Linked DNA regions of Danio rerio. The protein of the gene in region 3 purifies or fractionates together with the protein of the main gene of each other region. This does not show direct contact. Links are inferred from orthologs where the notes say so. Each region holds a gene or a part of one and is shown on either strand. Other genes may lie near its edges. The genes, in order: dnajb1b, pld2, dnajc7, vps13c and mlf2.

Region 1 (4,545 bases), on a different chromosome or scaffold from region 3:
ACAACAATATCTCCAGCAGAATGATTGATTTGAAAAAAAAAAAACGGAGACAGCTAAATTCAATAGTTCATTAAGCCTGACACTTTTACTGCTCCTAAATATTTTAAAGGTTTCTCAAAATAAAATATAGTGTGATCAAAAGGGAAAAAAGTTTTTGTTGTTTACCCAGACATTTAAAAAGGAATATATTCTAGAGCAGTAATCACAACACCGTAAAACCGTGATATTTTGATCCAAGGTATCATACCGTCAGAATCTTATATCAGCCCATGCCTAGACGATGTATCTGCAGCCATATCGTTATCTGCTGAAAAATGCTATTAATAATGTTATCGTTATCATTCCAATTTCAAAATTAGGCTGATATCTTTAAGCCAATTAATTTTGTACTTGTACAGAACTGCCTGCTTTTAAGTGTGGAGCGCGGTTATAAAAGTATTAAATGACTTACAATTGTACAAATATGTAATACTTTTCATTTGACATTTGAGCTGGTTTAAGTACTTAGTACTTTTTCGTTTTCATTTTATTTAAAATGTTTAACTTGTTTGTTAATTAAATCTAGTTGTCATTTAACCTATTATTTTTATGCAACAGTCAAGTTGCATGTAAATTTGCTATGTGGAAAAAAGGAAATGATTTATGTGAAAGTGTGAATAGGTTTATATAATCACCTTGCAATTTTGAAATTATTACTTTTTTTGCTTTAAGAAGGCTATTTTTAGATCAGTTCAAACTTTTATGAAGTTTTTTTTTTAAATAAAATCAGTGGTTCACTGTGCAAAAATATAACATTTTAAAATATTTATATTCATCAGCTAATACATCAGTTATCGGCCTTCAAATCTAAGATTTATTGGCTATCGATATCAGCCCAAAAACCATTTTCGGTGCATCCCTAGTATTTACATGCTAATGTGCATTTCGGAAACCAAGGAAAGTGAACGTCTTAGTTTTCTTGTACAAAAATGTGTAACTTTCAGTATGAACAAGCAACCAAGCCATGTTCAGATACAAGAGTCAAAACAGGCAAGAATTTTCTCCTGTCTGTTTCAAGTGTTTTTGATTTTGCTGATTGATCTTTGATGTTCCTTAATGGTGTGTTTGCTTTCAGAAGTTACATTTTTTGAAATGGTATAAAACATGTTGGTTATTTCAAATATCTAGTGGCCTATAAAATTATTTAGCATGCTATTGAATATTTCTTCAATATCATAGAAATCATCTCACCTCTTTGAGAGTAATTTTTGCAGGATAAATGATGTCCGATCCATCTCGTTTGTACACCGGATGCGGTTTATCCTTCAACACAAACACCACATCTGCAGGGATATTTGACGGCGTCTCGTCGCCTTCCCTGGGGAAGGTTATCTTGGTTCCTTCCTTCCAGCCTTTTTTCACCTCCACTGTCAGAATCTTGTCCTCTGAGCGTGTTGTTCGTCCATCGGGGTTCAGGCGCTTGCGTGAGATCTTCATCTTCTTGGTGCAGCCAGTGAACACTTCATCTAGACTGACACGGAGGTCGTGGATCACTGCAGGGTCTTGTTTTCTCTCCATTCTTCCACCGTGACTATGTGTGGTAAAGGAGCGAGGGAAACCACCAATGCCACCCATACCAAAAGAAGCAAACGGGTCATCAGTTTCCATGTTCTCATCCATACCGCCATTATGTCCAAAAATATGTTCGAAAGGATTTCGCCCTCCGAAGAACTCTGAGAACATCGCATGAGGATCTCCTTGGAAAGTGTATGTGTAATTTCCACCACCACCACCTCCTCCAGGAGCACCTCCCTTCAGTCCTGCAAATGGCACACAAATAAATCAAATTGCAATCTTTAAACAAAAATACAACACTCAAATTTCAAGATTAATTTAATAGTTCATATAAATGTTGATTATTTAGCATAGAACCACTGATCATTTTGATTACTCAACTACACATACTGGTAAAAGGACTGGAGGTTTGTATTCATCTTAACTTGTATCTCCAAAAATATCTAAAGGTTCCTTTTGATAGATTTTCTATTAGTAAATATTTATATTTAAGTGCTAGTCGTTTTAAAATGTTCTGGAATGTGCAAACCCATTTAAGATTGTTTAAAGCTGAACAGGTACAGAACTATTGACGGAACTCAAACGCTCTGCCTCTTCGCACCACGTGACTATCAGAATCTTCCAGCAAGCGCTCGACGCTCTAGAATGTCCCGCACAAGCAGCCAATCAGAATGCAGCATTGCTGATCGGATCTCGTTTACTTATTTTTACAAAATAAAACTTCACTATCACAGATTCAGCAGATTGACTTATCTCTAATTCAAACGTTTGAGTAGTGTAGAGTGCGTCGAAAGCAGCCCAGGACCACGTAACATCATAGATTAAACTGATTCAGCCAGTCAGTAATCTAATCTATCTCTCTTGTCTCAAACGTGACTAGAAGAAAACAAACACGAACACAATAGTTTGTACTTTAAACAACATATCTTATTAGTAAAGGCTCATAATCCCTCTTAAAACTCTTCTTATTCATATTTGCGTCGTGGAACAGAGCCACAGTTACAAATGTTTGCATATTTTTACTCACCTTCTTCGCCAAATCTGTCGTAGATGTCTTTCTTTTTCGGGTCACTCAGCACGTCGTATGCTTCCGCGATCTCCTTGAACTTTTCCTCGGCTCCGGCTGACTTGTTTTTGTCCGGATGGTATTTCAGCGCTTGTTTGCGATACGCTTTTTTAATTTCATCGTCAGAAGCGCCTTTCTGAATCCCCAAAACGCTGTAATAATCTTTCCCCATCTTCACCATTAGGCTTCCGTGTTTCTTAAATGTATATTCTCCGAAAGAAAAACTGCGGTTCAGACTAGTGTTGCTAGCCTGTTTGTTTTCAAACCAACCTGAAACTAATCTTTGCAGAGGTGTCGTCTCGTCCCCTTGCGGTCTTTTATGCTCCTGCCGCTCTGTGGTTCCCCCTATTTAAAACCGTAAAGAAAGTTCTAGAAAATTCTCAAAGTCTCTGGTTGTTTCCACACCCCTGGACCTGGACCACGTGGCAGATCTGCTCCACCCGCACAGCTGCTGCAGCAAACGGGCAAAACCGAAACCAGAAGAAACTACAGCTGCGTTTCTCTATCAAACTATGATGTACTCAAACATAAACAGGCCTGTGTGACGCCATAACGGGCGCTTCTCGGCTGGATTTCGTATGTCGTCATTTATATTTGCATAATCCCCTTACATTCCTGACCGAGTGACCTACAAACTCTGTCCAGGGAAGATGCTATTTTAGACCAATGATGATTCTCATGTTTTAACTGTACTATTATTGTTATAATTATATCTTTATAATATTAAATCATCTACCTTTTAAAAAATCTTATGTTTCATTAAATGTTAAGTGGAAATTATTAGGAAGTATATTTTATTATTATTATATTGAATGGATTGTGTGTGTGTGTGTGTGTGTGTGTGTGTGTGTGTGTGTGTGTGTGTGTGCGCGCGTGTGTGCGTGTGTGTGTGTGTGTGTGTACAAACAGTGCTCAGCATACATTAGTACACCCCTTAACAAATCTTATCTTTTAAATTCATTTTTAAATTCATGTTTTTTAATATTTTAATACGTTTACAATATTATATTTGTGCATATACATTAGTTTAGTCAGTACTGAAGTCAAATCTGGACCAATCTAACAAAATAACTTTCGGTAACGGACCAAAAACTAGTTCACCCATATTAACATGTTATAGAAAAATATTAAATACAAATTTTAATGAGAAGAGAAGCAAAAAAAATAAATAAAAATTTGGTTGAAATTTTGTAGGTTGTAGTTTTTTTTTGTTTTTGTAATATTTTGCTTGAATTTAATAGTATTGTTTTTTAATTTCTAAATATGTTTGGTGGATAAAATAATTTTTAAATAAATATATCCGTTTCATAAATCTGTTTTGTTTATATGCACCAAATATTATTATTATTATTATTGCTTATATTCACTGAGTAAAGGATAAAAATATTAATGCTGAGTACTTGTTATATATATATATATATATATATATATATATATATATATATATATATATATATATATATATATATATATATATACACACAATAACAAATTTTAGTTTTCTAAACCTCTCTTATTGTTGTGGGAAAATGTACTTTTGGGCTTTACTGTCTACCCTAGTCAAGAGGAAAATTGGTTTTATTTTAATCATTTGCTTATGTTGTTAACAAAATTTTGATTCATAAATGTAAATGTACTAATAAGCAGTGGTGGAAAAAATACTGAAAAAATCTAACCCAGGTAAAAGTACCATTACTTGGCCAAAAATGTAGTGCAAGTAGAGTAAATGTATCTGTTGTAAATATTACTCAAACTATGAGTAAAAAGTAGACCTTAGAAAAATACTCAGGAGTAGTGAGTACTACACTGTAAAAACCTGATGCGTTTCCATGCAATTTGTGCGTGAGTGAAAACGTAACATTCTGTAGTGCATTTATTCATTGTTTAAGGGCCTTTGGGCAATCTAAACAGCCTCTGGGCCATTG
Region 2 (4,048 bases), on a different chromosome or scaffold from region 3:
GTGCACTCAATGCAGAAGTATAAATTGGGGTTAACACTAGTACTTTTCAACACTGTATTTTTTTAAATCCTCAAATGTGAAGATTTAGCATTCGGTGTGTTATCCTTATTTCTGCATGGACATAAACATTTCCTCCTGAAGCACGTGTTATGTTCTCTCAGGCTTAGCTGACTTGCATTAGGACCCTGTGTCTGAGCATGAGGCCAAAGCAGAGAGCTATTGTGTGCTGCCAGCTGAATGCAGTGCAATCACATGATCCTAGTGGGAGAAAACACTGCAAACAACTCCACAACACTGAGACTCTGTGTGTGAACAAAGCGCAGTGTCTGTTCAGCTGTGTGTGCGCTGAGTCTTATGAGTCAGAAGCAAATGCTTTCTGTAAGGTCACAGGGCGGCTGTTACCTCTAGATAAATGTAATGCTGGCTGTTCTCAATAACATGCACATAAGCATTGAGGATTGAGTGTTCACATGTGCCAGCAGACCAGCGATCAACTGAACGAAGAACCTGGAATAAAAGAAAAAACAAATAGATGACGGACAAGATTAATGACATTTCGGGGAAAGGGAATGAAAGAATGGGGACACGTGTGTACCTGTACAGAGGCTTTTGTTGCACCGGGGATGCTGAATGGCAGTGTGTCTGATGTGCAGTGAGATTTTGGCAGGAGATATGGGTAGAAATCATCCTTATACTTGTTCTTAAAAATCTTTTAATTGACACAGAAAATAGGCAATGTGTAAAAAAACTGGTAAAAGTTTGTAGTGTGAAAAAGAAAAAAAATTTAAAAGTTATTATTTTTTAAAATTTCCAACCTTAGTGAAGTTCCAGCGCTGGATGAAATGTCGTGCCAGATCTCTGGCTGCTTTTCCATGATGCGCTGCACCCAGGTCTCGCCAGGGGATGCGTGGCACCTGAGTTCTGTCAACATTGTCTAAGAAACAAAAGCAAAAGCTACATTACTGTTAAAGCCACATTGGACATTTCCCAACATTTGTTCTTGTTAAAACCAAACTATTTATTCCTGCAACTAAGTAATAATAACTAATAGCTCTTCTTTTTAACATCTAACTTTTTATATACCAAAGAATCCTGAAAAAATAAACAATAATCAGCCTATGATAATAAGTTTAAAATGTAATATTATATATATATATATATATATATATATAATGTAATTATAATATAATATAATACAATCTAAAATAATATAATACAATACAAATATTTAAACAACAACATTTCTGTTAGTATATTATTAGTCAAATGACTTGGGCAAAGCTAAAACTTAATTGACATATGTTTCTATAAACATTGCAAGTAGGGATGCTCATAATAACCAATTCACTGTTAACCGAAAGGGTGCATTTTTAACCGTTTAATGGCATCAGTTAAACGATTAAAAATGTATTTATCTCTACAGTTGAAGTCAAAATTATTAGCCCTCCTGAATTATTATTGTTTGTTGTTTTTTTTCCCAATTTCTGTTTAACGGAGAGCAGATTTTTTTTAACACTTTTCTAAACATAATAGTTTTAAGAACTCATTTCTAATAACTAGGCCCACACGGAATCTGTGGGTGCAGAATTTGGCAGATTTTCTGCAGATTTTTAGCCCATCATTAAATCTGTTTATTTACTTGAGTAAATGTGTGTAAATCTATATTTATTCAGTTTTTTAATTATTTTCAGTAATATTATTGACTAATATGAAAATGTTCATTCGATCTATGTACAATACAGTTTGTAAAGTAATATTTTCTGTCTTTTAGTAGATATATTATATGAAAGACTTTCTTTGTTTACAAAAAAATACAAGTTAAGAAGATAATATTTTTTTATTTCACATATTAAGGTTTTAGTCATGATACTCCCAAAATAATTCTGCAGAAATCCACAGATTTTTACCAAAATTGCAACAGAAATAACAAAAAATGTCCGCAGATTCAGTCTGGCCCTACTAATAACTAATTTATCATTGCTATGATGACAGCACATATTATTTGACTAGATGTTTTTCAAGCTACTTCTATACAGCTTAAAGTGACATTTAAAGGCTTAACTAGGTTAATTAAGTTTTATCGATTAACTAGGTTAATTAAGTTAAGGCAAGTTATTGTATAATGATGTTTTTTTTCTTTAGACTATTGAAAAATAATATATAGCTTAAAGGGGCTAATAAATTTAACCTTAAAATAGTAAAAAAAAAAAAAAACTTTTATGCTCTTATGCTAGCCAAAATCAAATAAATAAGACTTTCTGCAGAAACAAATATATTTTTAGGTATACTGTGAAAATTTCCTTGCTCTGTTAAACATAATTTGGGAAATATTAACAAAAAAAATCAGGGGGTGGGTGGGTTTAATAATTTTGAATTTAACTGTATATTTTTTGATTAGTTGCATAATTGTGCAACACGTATTTGTTAACTCACGGGATGCTAACAGGTGCAAACACAACAGATATATTTAGCAAGATGAAAGAAGGATATTGCTGGTCACAGTTTGACACAGACGAGTTGATGCCAAACCAGCACTGATGCTGATTGCCTCGGTCCTGGATCTGCCTCATAAACACTTCTGTTCATTTGCACAATTGGAGAAAGAAGCACAAAACAAAACTTTCTAAAATGTGCGCTGCTTTGGAAACAAGCCGGTCATAAGTTGGAGTGTTGGAATTTTCTCTCATCAGAGTGCGCTCCGGCACCTCTTAGGAACACAACAAATAGGCTACAGTTGTGATGATTTAGTGTCCAACCAACAAACCAACCTTTTTTCCATTTGGAAAATTACAGTTATTAATAGTTCTTATAAAATATCAATTGTTAAAACAGCCTTCATAGCATGCAATAACTTCATGCATATTGATAACTCCACACCAAATTAAAACAAAATTGTTATATGCTATAGTAGCCTATACTTTACAAAAAGCCAACATATGAGCTTTGTCATTGTCTATTATCACATGCAGCGCGCACATGAACCACGAGTGAGAGAGAAAATAAAAGCACACAAGCTCTAAGATGAAACCAGATGCTCAAGACATAATCTTTAAAATAATGACTTCTATTAAAAATGTTGACAGAGGTTTGTGATTTATTAACAGTGGAGCATTAATTAAATGCATATTTTCTGTAGAGCGATAGATTTGAGGTAGCCTGCAAATTTATTTATTTGTATTTTTTTTAAACATCATGGGAAAAACCATCATGCTGTTTCTTAAAAATGATTCAGTCAGTGTTTTAATTTTTTTTTATCTAAGTTTGTAATTTAAGTGAAATATATCTAGGTCAGGACTAATTACTTTACTCTTTGTATTTAGTTTATTCCTAATTTCTGTGCTGTTGGAAACACTGCAGGTGCTTGAAGGTGTTCTGTTGTTAATATGTTTGCATGTTAAAATAAATCAGTATTTTAAAATAATATTTATTGTGTCACACAAAATAGACACGTCAAAATTAAAAAAAAAAAATTTAATTAAATATTTATCTGAACAGTTAACGGTTAATATTTGGTTAACGAGCGGCAGTTGTTGGTTAGCAAAATTAGCCGAAATGAGCTTCCTTAAATGCTAGAGCCTGGCTAGAGCCATCCTTAAAGGTTCGAGCCTCAGCTGGGTTAGTTGGCATTTCTGTGTGGAGTTTGCATGTTCTCCTTGCGTTCGCGTTTGTTTCCTCCGGGTGCTTCGGTTTCTCCCACAGTCCAAAGACATGCGGTGCAGGTGAATTGGGTAGGCCAATTTGTGCGTAGTTTATGAGTGCGAATGAGTGTGTATGGATGTTTCCCAGAGATGGGTTGCAGCTGGAAGGGCATCCGCTGAGTAAAAACATATGCTGGATAAGTTGGCGGTTCATTCCGTTGAATGAATGAATCTCCAGGGTTTCTGCCAGTTTCACCAAGTCAAATTTAAGACTTTTAAAGACATTTTTAAGACATTAGGAATGACATTTTAGACTTTTTGAAACATTATAGATACAGGGCTAAATGCTAAGGATTTTTTTCTGAATATCTCAGTTGAAAAGATTTTCACATGCCTTGTCTAAAAATGAT
Region 3 (4,048 bases):
CATTTATGCAAGTGACTGGCTGTGTCTGAATTTGCACAGAGCTAGTCACTTAATGATAAAGATCATGAAGTAATTACGCATTTGATTTGGCACTTAGGAAAACGTGATTTCACCTTTTTTCAAAATGCAAAGGCACTATCTTTATGATTAAATCAACCAAAGGCTCAGTCTTCATTCAAAGTGGATACATTTTTTCAGGAAATTTTAATTAGCGAAACAAAATAAACAATATTGTGTCTAAATTAATTCTTTAATAATAAAACCTTTTCCCAATCCTGTCCCCCTCCCAACTTACTGTCATGTCAAATCAAGATGCCAAAAAAAAAAAAAATAATAATAATAATAAAAAATAAAAACACAACAACAAAAAAATAAACTGATAATTCCATATCCACAGGGATATTTTTGTGTTCAAAACTCGAAAGCTATGGTCATTCTGACTGAATTCGTACAGTAAAGCTTTTGTGCTCTCAACAGACACTTTATTTTTGCTAAAGTGAGTAATAAACTTGATAATATGAGCACAAACATCCCATAACAGTGCTTTCGTGGATGATCAATATCACACACCCTTTGTAGAGTCTTCAAACATATTTCCGTCCAAATAAAAGTTTGGGTTCAGATTGTTTTTCCAATAAAAATAATTAGTTGTATTAAATAACAGTGAAGATACTTATACTGACAAAAATAGTTTAAAGTAAACACTCTTCTTTAAGTAATCTTTCATTCATTAAAAAAATATTTTCACACAAAAATAAACAACACTGATATCAGACAGAAAATCAGTGTATGAGACTGATTTCTGAAGTATACTGCAATACTGAAGACAAGAGTAAATGATTTCTAATATTCTTATTTTTTGTATGTCTGAAATATTTTGAAAGCATACTGATCCCAAACCTTTGCTTGTTAGCGTTCAGTGGTTTACAGTCTAAACCAGTGAATTATGGACGATGAAGACAAAGTACATGAAATACTACCTTCAAAACTAAACCCACCAGGGCCGCCAAAGAATGCTTTGAAGATGTTGTTGGCATCAAAGTCTGAAAGAGAAGAAAATAGAGACATAAAACAATTCATCGTGATCATTTAACAAGCTTAAAATACATTTCCTGTGTTTGACACTATAGATTGAGAGTAATTGGTTTTACACATTTGGTTTCCAATACTTGAGCATTTCACCATAAAAAAGTAACAATGTAAACACTTTATTGAATTTTGTAATTTATTTAATTAATTAATTATTTCATTTATCAGAGACCCCCCCCTCCCCCTCATAATTTAACCCATATTACCCCATCATTTAAATGTCCGATACATATTCTAAAGCAAAACACTTAACCTTTTCAGCAAAAAAACAGTAAACCTTTTGTGTAAATTGTCCCAAAGCCTGGTGCTTAGACACAGAAACAAACCAACGGAGTCAAGAAAACAGTCAAGTCATGCCCTGAAGAGCAACTTTAAGTGAATTCAAAAAAACAGCCTTGATTGAGTCAATGCTGGAAATGAAACTGCTTAATTTAATTCCCTCTGTTGTCTGCACTCAGCATTAGTCTTTTAAAGTTCTGTTTACTCAAGAGCTGACACTTGGATTATTCAGCACAGCCATGGCATGACGCTTTCAATAAGATCTAGGCTTTTAAAAGAACATAAATGACATTCGCTTTCAATAAAAACATCATTCCAATGCTAATAGACAAGGAACTGATTATTTTGTCTCTGCAGGTGACTGTAATGAGGGCCCAAAAACAAATAACATTTCTGATGACAAGCTAGTTGATAAAGTCTATACGGAAAATAGCAAAAACAAAACAATGACTGCATACATTCACCTGTCACTTTATTTGGTAAACCGCTAGAAGATTGTTCTGTTTTGCTGTCTTTAATCGTCTGAAATAGTCTACTACTGGAGTACACTTACTGGCCACTTTGTTAGGCCACCTGTCCAATTGCTCGATAATGCAAATTTCTAATCAGCCAATCACAATGCAGCAACTCAATCTGCAGCAGTTTAAACAGAGCATCAGAATGGTGAAGAAATGTGTCCGATCTGAGTATTTCAGAAACTGCTAATCTACTGGGATTTTCACGAACAACCATCTCTAGGGTATACAGAAAAAGGTGCAAAAAGCGGCAGTTCTGTGGGCGTAAATGCCTTGTTGATGCCAGAGGAGAATGGCCAGACTAGTTCGAGCTGATAGAAAGACAACAGACACTCAAATAACCACTTGTTACAACAGAGGTATGCAGAAGAGCATCTCTGAAGGGACAGAAGACCACACCGAGTGCCACTCCTGTCAGCTAAGAACAGGAAACTGAGGCTACAATTCGCACAGGCTCACCAAAATTGGACAATAGAAGATTGGAAAAAGGTTGCCTGGTCTGATGAGTCTCGATTTCTGCTGTGACATTCGTATGGTAGGGTCAGAATTTGGCGTCAACAACATGAATATGCAAATCATTAAATTTGTCAAGTAAACGGAGCGTCATATGTTGTCTATTTAAAAACATTAGACTTATAATATTTAAAGTTAATATTAGTGTTGCTATAGATGTTATAAATAAAAGACGTAATGTTGAAAAGGTGAAACTTAAAGTAAAGTCTTTGATTAAAATGACAGGTAAAAGTGAAATTATAAGCATGTGTATATCTGTGCATGTATATAGGCATATTTATTTCCCCCTCTATCAATGCTGAAGTAATGATGATAGTTGACCTCTTGTTATATTATTTGAGTGTTGTTGAGATATTTAAAATGAGTCATGTGACCATAGCACTCAAAAGAGGCTCTAGATGCCCCTGATCATGCCCCGATGAAAGCAGTTCCTTGCCGTAACATGTAGGTTTAGGGATAAAGCCTTTATTTACATGGCTTTTAAATTTTCCACATTTTTCTAGTGCCTTGGACTGATTTTTGTTGTAGCACAGACACATAATTTAAGCTACCCCTGAGCACTTTTTGTTTGATTTTGGACAAATGATATTTTGAAAAATGTCAGTAACCAAACAGAGCTAGCAACACGTTTACTGCGATAGATAGAAAATAAACAGTATGGGAGTAAATGGCGAGAAGATCTGTTGTTACTGACTTTCTTCCAAATATCTTGTATATAGTTTGTTTTTTAGCAGAACAAAAAAAAAAAAATAGGAACAACTCGAGGGTGAGTAAATGATGGATGAAGTTTAATTTTTGTGAAAATCATCTTCCATATTGAAATAGTGCTGACAGAAAGAGAAAGTGTGTGAGAATGGAAGTGTGAAAGGGACAAACCCATGTTCATGTCATCGTCCTCCAGGTCGTGGCCGCTGTCATATCGTGTCTTCTTTTTGGGGTCGGAGAGCACAGTGAAGGCCTCGCCGACCTCTTTAAACTTCTTCTCTTCCTCTTTCTGCACCTCAGCGCTCGCACCGCTGTGTCGGTCTGTGAAGAACACATGACCCTTACTTTGTAGCGTATACCATGCCTACTAAGTTCAAATCAAATCCATTCTAGCCAAGAGAAAACCATAAAAGTCGTATACATATCTCAACTTTTAATGGAAATGAGCAGGAAGTGAACAGGATTTGCAAAAAACTTGGATTAAAAGATCTGTTCCAACTCTCTGCGATCAGCTGCAGCTCAAGAATGACTTTTACAAGTTTAAAAAAATTTTTAAAACCCTGCATGTTTGTAATAGAATAGAGAGGAAGCATTTACATTTTATTTAATTTCCTGAAGTTTACACACAACATGTGAACAGGCCTATAAACAACAATGGAGGACATTCAGCAGACTCTTTTTTTTTTTTTTTTTCCCCTAATAGCATGTGGCTGTTTGTCACAAGATGATGACAAACGTTATGCATGGTAGAGTGCTGTGTGCCGTCATTGTGTTATTAGGATCATATCTGGATAATTTCTTGCCTCAGTAGTTCAAATACTTTAATGCAAAAAATCAGATCCCAATATTCTGAATACGCATATGAAGCAAATATAACGTTTTTCCGCCTAGTAAATAAGGTTGCTATTACACTTTCAAAGATCGTTAAAGTTCACGAATGTTAATAC
Region 4 (4,822 bases), on a different chromosome or scaffold from region 3:
GTTTCTAATCCATTGGTTATAGATTTGATTAGAGATGCACCGATCCCTATACTTGGATCAGATATTGGTTCGATATCACATATTTTTGCTGGATTGGGTATTGGCCATCTGGAGTATAGAGGGTTATTACCTGCTCCTCATACAAAGTAGGCCTAACTGAAATTTTAAATTAGAAAAGGCTCAATAACCAAATACATTGGACAGATCCTCAACGCACTGATTTGCTCCCTTTATGCTGCTGTTTTGGAAGTGTCACAATGAGTTTCTGTTCTCTCATCCTTCCGACTGAGTTTATTTTTTCCGAGGGGAAACCTTTCAGTGCTGTATATAGTTCGTAAAGCTCATTGTGGTCAAGTTTATTCAGTTAATAAAAATGAAACTAACAGGCTCAATATGGATTGTCATTAACAATACATTATTTAGCCTAATATAGACTTTTCTGAAACAGTGAATATTTCACTTTAATTTTATTTAAATTAGTTTTTTATTTAACAGACCTGTTTGGGTTTTGGTGCTGAAGCATATAAGCGGCCCTTGTTTTGAATTTCACCTCAAATTCGTTCTTCTTGTTTATTTTGTACAAATGAAGATATATTATTAGAGTTTATTAGCAGAACTATAGAAACAGCATTACGTAAAAAAAGAGCCACAGTATCGGGATTGGATCTGTATCGGTCAATATTCAGAATTTTGGTATCAGGATCAGACTGATTTAAAAAAATGGTATCGGAGCATCCCTAGATTTGATATTGAGACATGAGCATTATAAAAGAAAATTATGTTGCAGGGGTGAAGTTTTAGCAGACACAATGAATGAAGAAATCCTGCATAATACACCATCAAGAAGTCCTTCATTTTCATTGGAGGATCTAATTTGATTTTTTGTTTATTACGATGTCAGGATAAATTGGAAGCACAGAGCTGTATCAATCATAATTTGAAATACAACATGCATTTACCAAAGAGAAAAGGTGAACCTATTTTTAATCCAAAGGATTTTGGTTATTTAAATGAGCATGGCTTCGAACACTCCTTTTAATTTTACAGTAAATTAAAGAATCTAGGTGGAGTTGTTTCAGCCATGAAACATCCAGCTAAGTGACTACAATGACACATCAGAAAGTTTGATATGTGACTCCAATTAAAGTATACTAACTAGAAGATAAACAGAGCAAACAGCCATATTTGCATATAAACAAACAAACGCTGACAGTAAATGGTGCACAAAAAATAAACATTAACCATAAGTATAGAATTCATGGGACATTCAGAGGGTCATATCCCAGAGTAGGGCTGAACAATATATCGTTTAAGAATCCATATCGGAGTTTGTGTATCTGCAATAGTCGCAGGATTAGATTCAGATGAAAAGACAAAGATATTTAAAACAAAAAAAAAACTATTTTAATCATTTATAAAATGATGACCGTATTATTTTACATTTAATTGCTCAATTTGTGTATCCTGTATACAGTTTGACACCATAAAACCATAAAGCACTGTTTATTTTGCTTTTATTTTTGCTCTGATGTATTTATAAATGCTTGTTATGTGTGAAATTTTATGCTGATGCACTGCACAGAAAAAGACTTGATCATTCCAGTCGATCTATATTAAAGAAATCTTTCCAATTAGAGCTATTAAATCATCTGCTGAAATTAAATTCATATAGTAATATATGTATTTCGCATAGAGCAATAATAAACAGTTATTACCAATATTGTTTGTTTATTTATTATAGCTAACTCATTTGATTCATGGGCGACACTGTGACTTAACAGTCACCTCACAAAGACACATTCCCAGGTGGAAAAGTTGGCATTTCTGTGTGGAGTTTGCATGTTCTCCCTGTGTTGACGTAAGTTTCCTCCGAGTGCTCCGGTTTCCCCCACAGTCCAAAGACATGCGCTATAGGTGAACTGAATAAACTATATTGGCCATAGTCCATGTGTATGTTTGAGCGTGTACTGTATGAATGTTTCTCAGTACTGGGTTACAGCTGGAAGGGCATCTGCTGTGTAAAAAATATGCTGGATAAGTTGGCGGTTCATTTCGCTGTGGCGACCTTTGATTAATAAAGGGACTAAGTTGAAGGAAAATGAATGAAAGAATGAATTTGATTCATTTATTACAAATATTACAGTTGCATAAGTTAAGAAGTGCATAAAATTCCTTTTATTCCCCAAAATAATATATAACAAATAATTCTAATGTAAAATGTTTGACACTGTGTATCTCTAAAATAAGAACATTAATAGTGTGGGTCAGAGGAGCAATGGGATAAATCTGCAATAATATCCTGCATCAGGCTTTTTCAAGCAGTTATTTAGAAGCGTTTCAGTGATATTTAGCAGCTGTTTCTAATGGCTCCAGAACTTAATTCCCAGATTAAGTGGGTAAGTGTGCAGCACAGAAATTCATAGAGAATTGTATGGCATTTATTTTGTTGTTCCTCAAGGTGTGGTCCACTTCACCTTGAGCTTTACTTGCACACATTCATCACAACAAAACAAACAAAACAAGCCTACAATACAGACTGCTTGCATTCAGCAGCTCAGCTAATCGTCTTGAACCATTTTCTGTTTGTCTTATCAAGAAGACAATCGTTTCATTTATCTAATGCAAGCAGGAACTTGAGTAATGACCATGACAGCTCTTTTTTTTACACAGTTAGGGCGGGAAACACTACAAATATTAAAAGCAAACAATGTAAATAACGTTAACAGTTATATTCCTCGCCTCAGAAAGCAAGCAACTTAACAGCCTGCCAATCTTACAGAACAGAAACAATTATGACCGATAGTCATTTGTGGACACTGTAAAAAATGTCCGTATTAACGTGCACTGAACATCGACACATGACATTTTGTAATAAACAATAATTCGCAGAGAGGGAAACGCGTTTGTTTGCACTGATGTTTACAGGCAGTTTGACGAATATACGCTTACCTCCCCATATGCCAATCTTGAGCTGCGACTTGTCCAGGTTTTCCACATAATCTCCAATAAACCTGTTTAAAAGATCACTGACTAAAGACTCGAAGACCATGATGAGTCGAGAACGACAGCGACCCTGTCGCAGAAAACACGCTAAAATGACACAATCCGCATTTGCTAAGGTTACTTCCCTCGCAGTGTGACAGGCGTTCACGAGATCGGTTCATCCGGCGATCCACTCACACTGTCTGCGCCAGGGGTCTCCGAACACTTATCATTAACAGGCTGAGTAGTTGATACAAGAACGTGGATCACAAAGCGAAAGTGTGGTGAGGTAACTCATAGTCATTTGTTTACCAAATGAGAAACTCTTTAGAATATTTGATTAATTGATTTATGTGCAAGATATATCATTACTGTTTGCTTTAGTTGTTTTCCCTTAAGGATAATACATTTAAGTTATAGTTTACCAAGATGTAAATGTATGTACTGAAGATACACGTTTGATGATATACGTTATATATGTCCCAAATTATAAAAGAAAACATTAAAATATGGTTTTAATATTTAGCATTATGGTTTGTTATTTGTATGTCATTTGTGGTGGAAATTATTAAAAGTTATTTAAGTTTCTCTTTCTGTTGTTGTTGTATTAAAAATACAAGAAACCCACGCGAACATTATAATAAGGAGAACATGCAAATTCCACACAGAAATGCCAACTGACCCAGTCGAGGCTCAAACTAGCGACCTTCTTGCTGTGAGGCGACAGCACTACCTACTGCGCCACCACGTTGCCCATAATTCATTCATTTTTGAAAATATTAAAAGGATATTTTACCCCCAAATGAAAATGTATTTATCATTTACTCACCCTCACATGGTTCCAAACCTTTATGGGTTTCCTTTTTCAGCTGAACACAAAAGAAAATATTTAGAAAATTGTTATAAACTTGAAACCGTTGATTTCCACCGTTTATGTTATTCCTACTAACTTCTTTTGTGTTCAACAGAAAAAAGGAACTCAAACAAGTACAGGATGAGAAAATTATGACTTAATTTTCAATGCTGGGTGAACTATCCATTAAATAAATGCTCCAAAATGAATACATATCTTATTTCTCACATGCATTATATAATAAATCATAATAATCACTACCAACTTTATATGGCTTTAAATAATTTAATAAAAAATGCCTTGATTATACAAAATTGATTGCATAAATTTAGATTTAAGGACCTGACTGTGACTGTGATAGCGTTTATTTTCTGTCACACTCTCCTATTTGTCTTCTGGCTGTGGTTTTCTTTTAGGGACAAGTTTCCAAGCTCTTTCTGGTGCACGTGGTCTGCTTGAAATCTGTTTACAAGTTGATCTTATGATGTTTGAGCACATAGAGGCTTTTTTGTGTTTGTGCTGAAGGTTTTAAGTCCAAACATTTTGTCTTAAACCTCAAACCTTTAATTATTAGATATTGAAATACACAAGCTCTTCTTTCCTACCATACTATAGAGCTAATAATATGCCAAAACAATCTGAATTTGAATTGTGTTCATTTGAATTATTGACAATAGTTAAAGAGACTAAGCCTAAAAGAAAACAAATTAATAATAAAAAAATATATTTAGCAGAAAGTAGGTGGTGAACAACAGGGAAGAGTAGACGATCACAGAAAAGTCAAACTAAGCACTTTGGCCAATCACAGAGCTGTGGAGTATAGCTATTTCTGCACTGAATTTTGTAGAAAATCTGCAGATTTATGCTGTATGATTTTAGGAGTATTATAACTAAAACCTTAATATATGAAATAAAAAATAATACTTTTATAACTTATATTTAATGTTTACAATGCAAATCCAGTTAGATCCACATTATTTGGTAAAC
Region 5 (3,917 bases), on a different chromosome or scaffold from region 3:
CGAGAGATGTATTTTGGATATAAACACTACAGTCCACAGAAGTGAAATAGTAATTAAAATAGCAAATGTCCTTTTCAGGATAAAGACCAATGTACTTATTGCTTCAAATGCAGAGTGTACCAATTACATTTGTCACCATCTACTTGTGTAACAGTCAATAGCTATGTTTCTACCCAAAAAGGTGAATTACTTTTTCATAAAATGTTTGCGAATAAAGCACCCTTTCCATCCAACAAGTCAAAAAGAACAAAATCATGCTGATATACTGGAGCCATATATCTAAAAGAAAAAAAAATATTTTGCCATAGGAGAAGCCACTGTGTTTTTTTTTTTTTTTTCTTTTTCGAATACAATAATATACTTATAACTCAGAAACGAAACCCAATGAATGCACAGTGGTTTTGGGGTGTGCGAAAATGCTCTTTGTGACCACAGATGCTCAAGACAGTTCTAGAGGTAATAATATGGAACCAATATAATGACAAACTTTGGCTAAGGGATTTTAGCATGACCGAAACAACATTTCAGATGTTGTGCAATGTGGTCGGTCGCCTATTTTTTCCATTAATGCAGACCCATTGTGCTCATCATCATCACATGATCTGTTATAACAAAAAACACATCACTTTTGATGTGCATGCTAGGATTTATTCAGAAAATACAATTCCATCTAGTTCATGCACTTTTTAATAGGATAAAAAATGTATCCTACTACTCAGTTGCATGCATAAGTTTCCAAATTCAATATTCCAAAATATGAGAAAATAGGTTAGATGGAAACAAAGCTATTGACTAAAAAAGAAATGTATGTCATTAAATTAATTGTTCAAGACATTCTTTTAAATATGACAACTGAATCTGCAGCAATCAGATTTTTTTAAAAACTTCTACTACATGATGTGGAAAATATCATATTTTGTTTTGTTCACCTTTTCAGAGACTTTGTGACTAATGGGTCACCAATATTAGTACTTTGAGAAGGTATGACTAGATGTACATTGGATGGTATGATGTTTCGCTTTTTCTTCTTGTTTTCTTTACCTCCATCTATCTATTGGCTTATTTACTTATTTTCTTATTTTTAAAGTATAACTAAAATTTCTACAGCTCACATTTTTTGTAAAAAAATTGTCTGTAAAAGCACATTGTATATTTATTTTGATAATCTTAAATAAGTTTTGATGTCTATTCATAATCATGTTAAAATCAATTGTATTTTAAACCAAAACTTGGCTGTAATTCTCAATTTATGGAGAATTATGCAGCTCTACTCCACACATGAGTTGAGTTCTGGCAGTGTGAGACTCATACCGTTCACCAGTCGTAGCGTGGACGGGATTGAGGAGGATGGTGGCGTGGTGACTCGTGGCGGGGTGAAGGAGAGGAGGAGGAGGTCGGAGGTGCTGTGAGGGCCAGCTGCTGTCCAACCCCTGCGCCCCGCTCACGCCCATAATCTAAACTGCGGGCAGTAGGGGGGCGGTACCGACCCACCTCTCTCCTCCACTCTTCATCAAAGGCAGCTGCCTCACCTGAAAGAGAACCATTTCCACAATAGTGAATGGGAGAATTTCTACACAAAGGTCTGAGATGAAATTTAAGTAGTTACAGGGGGGGAATGGTAGAGAGAAAGGAGGGATTTGACTCACTCTCCTCCAGGTTGAAGAAGTCCTGCCTCTCTTCACGATCGCCTGTGAGACGGTTCCTGGAACGCTCCATCACATGACCTCTCTCACCAATGTGATGCCCAATAGACATTCGCTCCAGCCCGCTCTGACTGTCCCGCATCGTTTGACGCGTCTCTCTGATCTAAACAAACAATTCAAAAAACATTTAGGGGCGATTCAGCAGTTGTGCTCCTTCAACTGTGAGATACTTCAGTGCAAAAACATCTCCTGCATTCTCTTGGTTTGTCTGGACTAAACCAAAATTTAAATTAATCCATTTAATCCTAGCTTGGTCAGCGTTCATGCAGGGAAATTTAACACAAACCTAGAACTATACAAAAAAAATTAGTTCCTAAACAAATTTGACAGCTTGTATAATGCATATTTTGCTTTGCTAATAAGGCACTTTTCCCCATTGCTCCGTGTTTTGACCTCTGCTCAAAGCTGCGTTTGCACTGCACGTCCACATATGGTTCTGAGCAACGTAGCTCACTTTATTCAGATGGGATTATTGGTATACTTGTGCCACATTAACTGCTGCGACATTAGGGCTGGGCGATTAATCGAAATCATCATTCAGAACCTATAATCAATCTAAATTTTATAGGTCAATTATTTCAATTTCTTTTCCTACAACATGTGGGATTATGTGACTCCACTCTGTAAGCCAAACTTTGCAGCCACATCAGATCTCTGGTCAAGTAGGACGATGGACTCATTCTTGAGCCTTACTTTGGACTACGTTGACAATAATTGAAAGGTGCACCAAAGATGCCTTGAGACATATTTTCCAATACATTTAAATTATTATTTACATTAAAGTATTTGTTTACCGAAGATGCAAGAAATGCACGGTTTAAAATATTATTTGCAGGATATGCAAGAGTTATTTTATTTAAAAGATATACTGCTTATTTTCTATTTTCAATATGAAAAACTTTGAAAACAAATGTTTTATTTTTTAAAATAATAACTATTTATTTTCACTTCTTTATAAGAAAAATGTGACTTGGTTTAAGACAATGTGTGTTTTAATTTCAGTTGTTCAACTTTGATGTTCAATAAATAATCAAAGATAGTGTGTGTTTACGTCAATTATGATTTTAAAATCAAGTAATGCACTCTTCATTCAAAAATTTCTCACTTGTGATTTGTAAGCATATTTATGGTACGAAACCGTCAGTGAACTATGAAGGCAAAAAATAAATAAATGAATGAAATAAATAATGGTTCATTAATCGTAACTGAGTTAAAATGTTTAATTATGAAGATCATGGTTTAGGCCAAGTCGCCCAGCTCTATGTGGCATCATAGTAAACAACATAAACAAACGCTTGACACAAACCAACAGGTTTGCCTTGCGAACCAACCAAACAGCAGTGGCTGCTGCTGACTATTTATATATAGCAGGTTGTGTGTCTCATTTCCCAAATCAATTGTAAGTCACTTTGAACAAAAGCATCTGCTATATGACTAATTTTGTAAATCCAGAGACGCTGATAGTGGCGATCCTCTCAAAACAAATTGATGATCTGCAGTGTGTACACATCACGTTTTGATAATGGAACAACTTGCTTGGAACATCAAGGAGGTACTACTAAAAGTATCAAGTACTAGGTACAAAACACATTGGAAAAGCCCCCAAAAGTAAGCTGTACCAAACCAAATCATGTCGTAACATGCAGAGGAAAAGTGGCTTTTTACACCGTTTTGCATACACCATTCTTTTGGCGTCATCAAACCTTGGATTTGTAGCAATGCAACATTTTGTTTTTGCTTTGTTGAGTTTTTGGCAAGTGTTGCATTTATTTTTTTTAGTCGAACCGCTTCAGTGTTTGTTAGAAAGCGGTCATATTCTATTAGCTGCAATGAAATTGTACACCAAAATTTTTTTTTTACATTTTTTTTGTGCATTTTTTAAGCTACTATCGAAACTCATAATGTTTATCTTCAACCACAAACTCTCATATTATCCACCAGTTGGAAACTACGCCGATTTAGATGTCACAACATATTTAATACAACTTGCAGATCTAAATAGAAGCTGCTAGTAAGTCATTCACGTGGTTTGAAGTTGTATGACTGTGCTGTATCGTTTAAACATTTGTTTAGTCTGAAACTGATTACTTAAATTATATTGTTTTTTCCCCAGCTGGTTGTTACCACAAAACAAAACCTTTTAGGTTGATACAACACCACTACGCTTTATGTCAGGTCCTGATCACCTTGTTAAGTTTTTTCCTGCAACAGCAA

The links.
Region 1: the proteins of dnajc7 (region 3) and dnajb1b purify together in Homo sapiens (affinity purification with mass spectrometry; 3 studies listed by BioGRID and IntAct, with this or other methods). This does not show direct contact. The link is inferred for Danio rerio from reciprocal best matches to the Homo sapiens genes DNAJC7 and DNAJB1.
Region 2: the proteins of dnajc7 (region 3) and pld2 purify together in Homo sapiens (affinity purification with mass spectrometry; 3 studies listed by BioGRID and IntAct, counting the BioPlex papers as one, with this or other methods). This does not show direct contact. The link is inferred for Danio rerio from reciprocal best matches to the Homo sapiens genes DNAJC7 and PLD2.
Region 4: the proteins of dnajc7 (region 3) and vps13c purify together in Homo sapiens (co-immunoprecipitation; 4 studies listed by BioGRID and IntAct, counting the BioPlex papers as one, with this or other methods). This does not show direct contact. The link is inferred for Danio rerio from reciprocal best matches to the Homo sapiens genes DNAJC7 and VPS13C.
Region 5: the proteins of dnajc7 (region 3) and mlf2 purify together in Homo sapiens (affinity purification with mass spectrometry; 3 studies listed by BioGRID and IntAct, with this or other methods). This does not show direct contact. The link is inferred for Danio rerio from reciprocal best matches to the Homo sapiens genes DNAJC7 and MLF2.

The regions. Positions count from the first base shown.
Region 1 is NC_133176.1:59,235,225-59,239,769, forward strand, and holds the start of dnajb1b (dnaJ homolog subfamily B member 1b), read right to left. Parts: upstream 3,179-4,545; 5' UTR 2,802-3,178; coding exon 2,582-2,801; intron 1,800-2,581; coding exon 1,231-1,799; intron 1-1,230. UniProt on the Homo sapiens protein: Interacts with HSP70 and can stimulate its ATPase activity. Stimulates the association between HSC70 and HIP. Negatively regulates heat shock-induced HSF1 transcriptional activity during the attenuation and recovery phase period of the heat shock response.
Region 2 is NC_133180.1:39,308,568-39,312,615, forward strand, and holds part of pld2 (phospholipase D2), read right to left. Parts: intron 935-4,048; coding exon 816-934; intron 710-815; coding exon 596-709; intron 508-595; coding exon 403-507; intron 1-402.
Region 3 is NC_133178.1:16,684,208-16,688,255, reverse strand, and holds part of dnajc7 (dnaJ homolog subfamily C member 7), read right to left. Parts: intron 3,423-4,048; coding exon 3,273-3,422; intron 1,044-3,272; coding exon 981-1,043; intron 1-980. UniProt on the Homo sapiens protein: Acts as a co-chaperone regulating the molecular chaperones HSP70 and HSP90 in folding of steroid receptors, such as the glucocorticoid receptor and the progesterone receptor.
Region 4 is NC_133182.1:29,745,024-29,749,845, forward strand, and holds the start of vps13c (intermembrane lipid transfer protein VPS13C), read right to left. Parts: upstream 3,184-4,822; 5' UTR 3,050-3,183; coding exon 2,950-3,049; intron 1-2,949. UniProt on the Homo sapiens protein: Mediates the transfer of lipids between membranes at organelle contact sites. Necessary for proper mitochondrial function and maintenance of mitochondrial transmembrane potential.
Region 5 is NC_133191.1:35,023,034-35,026,950, reverse strand, and holds part of mlf2 (myeloid leukemia factor 2), read right to left. Parts: intron 1,807-3,917; coding exon 1,647-1,806; intron 1,530-1,646; coding exon 1,315-1,529; 3' UTR 1,312-1,314; intron 1-1,311.